2 linked regions of the Sus scrofa genome follow. The protein of the gene in region 1 binds, or shares a complex with, the protein of each later gene. Links are inferred from orthologs where the notes say so. Each region holds a gene or a part of one and is shown on either strand. Other genes may lie near its edges.

Region 1 (3,280 bases):
AAAAAAAAACTGTACAGGTTGGATAAAAGCTGACTTTTTACTACCAAAAGCTGACAGGTGAACATCTCCATTTCACTCAAGGGAACTACAATGATGAAGGAATTACTTCTGAAAATTTAAAATGTACTTTACCATAGAAACCTCAATATATGAAACTTTTAGATCTTAATGCTTAATACATCAGTATAATCAAATAGGAAAAGCCTCTAGGTACTAGTCAACTTAGTTCAAAGTCTCCAAACAGACTTTTGGAATTTATACTGTGGATTCACCTCAAACACATGTTAGCTGATCAGACAGTAATAATCTGCTAGAAGAAATTTTAAAATGACTTATTTCTGTAAAAGGGGAGATTACATCAGCCTAAGAGGCATATCCTAGCCAGGTACTGAAGTCATCAAAATTGGTTGTTTAATTTTTTTACCTTTTTTTAGTGAATTCCATCTAGAATGGAATCTAGTAAAGACATCAGTATTTAAGGCTACTGTTTTTTGGGTTTTTTTTTTTAATTTTTCCCACAAAACCCACCAGAATTAATAAAAGGTCATAGCCTCTTTATTCCTCTTACCTTTCCTGGAGAAATGCATAAGTCCTCTTTCTGAATTATCTGTGAACTTGATTTAAAGACAAAGAGCATGGTAAATAAAAGTTCCAACGCTCTAAAATGAATGATAGATTTTATCAGGATGATCTTACTTTTCAATGACATCTGCAATGAACTGGCTGGCCACTTGGGCCTCTTCTCCCGGAGGGCCAGACCGAAATCTCCAGGAACACAGAGGTGATAGATCCACATTAGGAACTGAAAAAATACTGCAGCTATGAACCAGATTTCATCTCTGATTTAGTGATAAAGGTATTATCAATCCACTGCAAAAGCAACTAGCCATGGAAAGCACTGTAAAACATCACATATATCTTTTCATCTTTGTAATAAGAATCCTGGGCTTAGACAAAATTTGTATTTTCCAACTGTTTTCCACACAAGCAATATCAAAAAAAGTATATTTAGGGCCTTTTTCTAAAGGCCTTTCACTAAAGTTCTTATATGTCTTTCAAAATGCCCCAAAGTGTAACAGAAGATAGCCCCCCTCCCCAGTCATACCAAGTGTTACGCATTTTTAAAATGTTGGTTCTCATCATAATGAAAAGATGGTCCAAGAAAAAAAAAAAATCACATGGTGGTATGAATAAAACTTTATGGAAACAAAAGTTTGTAATTATAGCCTTTGCCTAAGATTTTATTTTCTTGGTTGATGACATCTATACAAAAACTGATCAAAAAAAGATACTTATAAAATTATCTTGCTATTATGCTATCTTCTAACATATACAAAAAACTTTTCAGGAATGTCTAAAGCTTATGAATACTCTTCAATTCACCTACTAAGATTTAACTATAACAACAGTATTAACTATGTTAAAATATTTGTATTAAAATTACAAAACCATTTAACTCACCAATATATCCTTTATCAGGAGCATCTGTTGGTGGCGCTCCAAATTCCTGTAGAAGTAAACAAATGTTTCCTATGAAAGAAGCTGCTAAAAAATTGAGAAGGCAGCAGTCAGTTACGGAAGGCTCTTCCGTCTTAGCTAGTTAACTACATCCTGAGCATCTCCTGTGCTCGGGAGGGCGTGACAAGGGCTCTAGGGCCACTGGCACCACTCCTTACAAGTTCTGCAAGGCCAGAAGGCAGTAGAGCACAGCTGACTGTCGTGCCACTCATCAAAATTACTTGGGGCTCGTTAATTGGATTTCTGCTCCACCCTCTCTTCCACTTATTCAGCAGCCAGGACTGAATTTAAACCTAGGGATACTGACACAGCCAGATTTAGAAACTGATGGGAGGAATCAAAAGCAAATGTCAGAATCACACTTTGTAGCTCAGAGACTTTGAGGAAGTTATTTAACCTCTTACCATTCAACTTCCTCATTGGTAAAGTGGGAAGTTAATAGGGCCTACTTTCAGAAGATGTTAATAAGGGTCAAATGAAATAATATTAAATCCCTGACATAAAACCTAAAAAAGAGTAAGTGCTCAAATCTTGTTACATATCACTGCAACCTTTACTGAAAAAGAACCTGAACTTAGATTAAGCAAATTACAAAGTTCAGGATAGTCAAAAAAGCAGAGACTTTGGAGTTAGTTATGTCTAAATTCAATTTATGAGCCTTATGTTCCTAGACAAGTTTTTTGAACCTCATGTAAGATAGGAGATGAAGAGAGAAATATTTCAAATAATTATTCTGAGGTTTAAACTGGCTAATTTTTTAAAGCACCTAATATAAGGTGCCCAGGATATAGCAAGTACTCAGTTAATGGTGGCTATTACTCCCTCAAGCTTTTCCTTTAAACAATTTTCTACATGTTTGCACAGATTAAATGCCATCCCTGCATAAAAAGATGTCACCCAAAATCCCTCTTAATTTCTCAAATTACAACCAAATTTTTAAAAAATTAAAAGTGGTGAGGGTTTTTAAAAAATTTCATTTCAGCACATTTGCAAATGTTCATAAATTATAATTGAGTCATTAAGCTTGCGAAATGAAAACAAATACTAAAAAACTGACATCTGATCACCTCATCACCAGAACTATAGGTGTATATTACAATCTAATAAGTGTATGAACTAATTTGGTAACTCAAATCTTTATAGTAATATACACAATAAACTTACTGCTTTAATTCCACAAATTACTGTAGTATTTCCCAGCTTCACTAAAGAAGAACCATCTGCAGTACCAATTGAACCTGAAAAGATAAGTATTTAAACAAAATGAAAAGCACTTTTTTTTTTTTTTTTTTTTTGGTCTTTTGTCCTTTAGGGCTGCACCCACAGCCTATGGAGGTTACCAGGCTAGGGATCCAATCGGAGCTGTAGCCGCTGGCCTACATCACAACCACAGCAACACCAGATCCAAGCTGCGTCTTCGACCTACACCGCAGCTCATGGCAATGCCGGATCCTTAACCCACTGAGCGAGGCCAGGGATTGAACCCAAAATCTCATGGTTCCTAGTTGGATTTGTTTCCGCTGCACCACGATGGGAACTCCTTTTCATTTTCTATGTATGGTTTTATCTTGCTACATATCTCATTTGTTTACAAAATTGTATTCCTTGAGTCTTTTTAAAATTATAGTTGACCCTTAAACAGCATGGATTAGAACTGCACCAGTCCACTTATACAGGCATATTTTCAATAAATACTACTACAGTACTACATGATCCACAGTTGGTTGAATCCTTGATGCAGAACCCGAGATATGGAGTACCC
Region 2 (4,217 bases), on another chromosome or scaffold:
AAGCCCCTGCCCCTTATTTTAGGGATTTGTGCACAGGGCACGCAGGGGAGGGTGTACGCCAGGGAAGAGAATACTTAGTCCATGGGGCTATAACTTAACATATGAAGTTTTCATCTCATGAAACTGAGGTAAAGCAGAACTCAAAAAAACAAAACTGTGTGCTGGGGGTCAGGGGGGCGGGAGTGAACAGGACAGGAAATAGAGCCACCCACTACTGATCCCCAGCCCTAGCTCTGAGCATTCTGATCCCTGAGTAGTAGCCACAGGCCATCAGAAGAGACATCTGACATCTGCCACAGATCAGAGGAGATGGAAAGCCACTACACTCAAAGGCTCTAAGTCACCATCTCTCTTCCAAAGGGAAACCGGATATGCGGGACATGTGGGGTGAGAAGGGATTCGAAAGCCACCAGAAGGCAAAGGAAACCGAGAAAAATGTCGACAAATCTCATATGGACAAAGATGCCGTTCTCAGGGTATTTGCAGTCTCAAGTACTGGACGTCAATCATCAGAGAGAGCAGCTTTTATTCATGCGCAGACTTCCCTGCCAGACTAACACGCTCCACTTGACAAGATCCGACCGCAAGATGCAAGCTGCAGTTACAAAAACCAGGAAAAGGTTTTACTTCACATAAAGGCTGGCCTGGTCAAAGGGTGATGGACTGGAAGTAAAATAACTTGGATACCGATTTGGTCTCTACCTTGAACTATCTTAGAGACACTGCACAAGTCAAATCCTATCTCTGGAGCTGAGCTTCCAAATCTGTGAAATGGGTGAGTTGGGTTGGCTGACCTCCTTCAACTCTGCACCGTAAGACTGTCGGAAGGTGCGCTCCGCCCGGTTTGAAGGCAAGGCCGTACAGAGCAGGAACTCGGGCTCACAAGGCCGGAATAGGGCCCGACCCTAGCAAAAGGGACAGGACTGAGCAGCAAAGGCCGTGGCTTCGCTCTTACCTGCCTCCCCAATCAGTCAAATCGAATCCTGCAGCCTCCGCTGCAGCTCACTGCTACCCCCTCCAGCTCCGCGCCACAGCCCGGCCCGGCTCAACCCAACCAACCATGTCCAGCAGCCCACAGCTCCAGCCTGCAGACCCGGACCCGCCGCCTGCCCATTCTCTTCCACAGGCGCAAGCGCAAGCGCAGGAGTTCCGGAACTCCGCCCCCAAGCCCGTCCCGGGGCAACCTGGGAAATGGAGTTTACCCCTCCCCTCAAGAGTGAGTCTGGCGAGCACGTGACAGAAGTCACCAATTGGCGCGTTTCTTACTGCGGGAGTGCACACCTGATGTTGGCCAATGAGCAGTCGACCTCATTTTCCTTCGGACTTCGGACAGAGGCAGTCATGGCACCACCTGTGAGGTATTGCATCCCCGGTAAGTCGGCGGTTCCCAGAGGGAATCCTGGGCAGAGGCAAAGGCAGGAAGGCCGGACGACCAACAGCTTCTGCGGTCCTGTGGCTGATGCAGCGGTTTTTTGGGTTTTTTTTTTTTGCGCAGGCGAACGTCTGTGTAATTTGGAGGAGGGGAGCCCCGGCAGCGGCACCTACACCCGGCACGGCTACATCTTTTCGTCGCTTGCTGGCTGCCTGACGAAGAGCAGCGAGAACGGCGCGGTAAAGGGGCTGGTTTCCTCTCTCCTCGGTTTCTGCCTTTCTCATGCTGCTTTTGATGTCACGATCCTTAGGCAAGGGCCCTGCGGGCGCGATTCGGGATCCTCGTTCAGTAGAAGGAGTTGGTCTCAGAGTCCCCAGTGAGCCACAGAGTCTTTGTACACACGCCGTCTGTCTGGAACGCGCTACTCTCTTCCTTATCCTGTGTTTGTTTATTTTGACGGGGCCGCACCTGGGGCATGTGGAGATTCCTGGGCCAGGGATGGAATCCCCGCCACAGCAGTGACCCCAGCCACTGCAGTGACAAAGTGAGATCCTTAATCCACTCACCCACAAGAAAACTCCTCCCTTAGCCTATTTAATTCCTACCTAACTTTCAGATAGCCCCACTGGTACCACTTTCTCATATAAGCCCTCCTAAACACCACTAATAAAAAGAATTTTGGAAGTTCTCTTGTGGTTCAGTGGCTTAGGATGCTGCTGTGGCTTGGGTGGGTCTGATCTCTGGAATTAACTCATTCTGCAGGAACTCATCTGAAATGATTGGATTATGCCTTCGAGCAGCATTCTGTGGCCCCTTGGCTCTCCTATGTTCTAAAATTTCTTTTTTTAAGTCTTTTTTTATTAAAGTATAGTCAACTGTCAGTATTCGTCAATTTTTGCTGTGCTGCAGTGACCTAGTCATACATACATATACATTTTTTTTCTCATATTTTCTTCTATCATGTTCTATCACAAGTGATTGTGTATAGTTCCCTGTGCTATACAGCAGGACCTCATTGCTTATCCATTCTAAATGTAATAGTTTGCATCTACTAACCCCCAGCTACCAGTCCATCCCACTCCCTCCCTGTCCTAAAATTTCTAAGGCTTTCTGCTCTGGGCTACAAAAGAATCTAGTCCTCCTGTCCTTGTGTCAACTGTGGCCCGAGGCATATGCATATTACTGTCAAGCCACAAATACCTTTACTGAAGGCTTAGGCAGGATACTCATGTTTTATTGTTCTCGCTGTAGCTTCCTGTCATATCTGTGATGAGAGAAACGGATTCCCAATTATTGCCAGATGTGGGAGCTATTGTGACCTGTAAGGTAAGTTCATCCTAAACTCCCTGCTTAAGGTACCATCCAATGCTGAAATCATGATCATTGTAAAATAGCACTGTCCAGTATGGTAACCAGTAGCCATATGTGGCCGTTTAAATAAATTAAAATCTGTCATCACAGAAGGTTTTCCCGGCTTGTGCTAGTCTAGAGATTTCTAGGATAATGATCAATGCGGTCCAGTTCAAGCTTGCATGGTTCTTTTACAGAGCTGGTTCCCTGAGTATGTAGATTTACTTTTGACTGGGAAACAGAGGCACCAAAGGGTGATAAGGAAGCTTTTTTTTTTTTCATGTTCTTTTCTATTATGATTTAGCACAAAATATTAAATATAGTTTCCTGTGCTGTACAGTAGGACCTTCTTGTTTATTCCTTCTGTATATTATAGTTGGCATCTGCTAATCCCAAACTCCCAATCCCTCTCTCCCTCAGTGCCCCCTCACCCTTGGCAACCACAGATCTGTTCTTTATGTCTGTGAGTCTGTTTCTGTTTCATAAATAAGTTCATTTGTGTCATATTTTAGATATCGTAAATAAGTAATATCATGTATTTGTCTTTCTGTTTTTGACTTATTTAGTACGATCATCAAGATCCATCCACATTGCTGTAAATGGATTATTTCATTCTTTTTTGTGGCTGAGTAGTATTCCATTGTATATATGTATCACATCTTCTTTATCTAGTTATCTGTCAGTGGACATTTAGGTTGATTCCATGTCTTGGCTATTGTAAATAACGGCGTAATAAACATTGGGGTCCATGTATCTTTGCAAATTGTAGTTTTCCCAGGTATATGCCCAGGAGTGGGATTGCTGGATTGTGTGGCAATTCTTTTTTTAGTTTTTTGAGGAACCTCCATTCTGTTTTCCATAGTGGTTGCACCAACTTACTTTCCCACCAACAGTATAGGAGGGTTACCTTTTCTCCACACACCCTCCAACATTTGTTATTTGTAGACTTTTTAATGATGGAGGAGGCCTATATTTGAGCATCTGAAGCAAAACTTTTTCGGCAGAGAAACAAAAGATTTTATAAAGTCTTTGAGGGAAAGTACAAATTAATGCTGCACTTATCAGTAGCTATAATACATCAGTATTCCCTACCCATCCCCACTCTCTGCCAGTTAAATTAACTCATAGCTCTTTGTTTCTCTCTATAAATCACTCTAACAGAAATCTATTTTCAAAATCTGTCATGTTGAAAACTGCAGAGGCAGTGATCTAAATAGAATGCAGCAACTGAAACGGAGACTTAAATTCTGTTCACACTACAGGGCTCTTAGTAAGTTTGTTAAAAGTCTAGCTAGATTTGCTATATTTCCTTGTGTAGACTTGTATGTTTTTCTAAATCTGTACCGTATTATTTCATTTGATTCCCACAGTAACTGTTAGGTGTAGAGTGGCTCTTGTTTCATTTTTTGTAATCACTTATCCAGGGATAAATAAATAGCAGTTAATTTGTCTTAACTTCTGTACTTAGGAGTTCCCATCATGGTGGTGCAGAAAC

Evidence for each region.
Region 2: EXOSC8 (region 1) and EXOSC1 share a complex: the UniProt entries of both Homo sapiens proteins name them as parts of the RNA exosome core complex. The link is inferred for Sus scrofa from reciprocal best matches to the Homo sapiens genes EXOSC8 and EXOSC1.

The regions. Positions count from the first base shown.
Region 1 is NC_010453.5:12,819,942-12,823,221, reverse strand, and holds part of EXOSC8 (exosome complex component RRP43), read right to left. Parts: intron 2,757-3,280; coding exon 2,683-2,756; intron 1,508-2,682; coding exon 1,462-1,507; intron 803-1,461; coding exon 697-802; intron 615-696; coding exon 569-614; intron 1-568. UniProt on the Homo sapiens protein: Non-catalytic component of the RNA exosome complex which has 3'->5' exoribonuclease activity and participates in a multitude of cellular RNA processing and degradation events.
Region 2 is NC_010456.5:108,839,885-108,844,101, reverse strand, and holds the start of EXOSC1 (exosome complex component CSL4), read left to right. Parts: upstream 1-1,274; 5' UTR 1,275-1,284; coding exon 1,285-1,372; intron 1,373-1,495; coding exon 1,496-1,611; intron 1,612-2,623; coding exon 2,624-2,698; intron 2,699-4,217. UniProt on the Homo sapiens protein: Non-catalytic component of the RNA exosome complex which has 3'->5' exoribonuclease activity and participates in a multitude of cellular RNA processing and degradation events.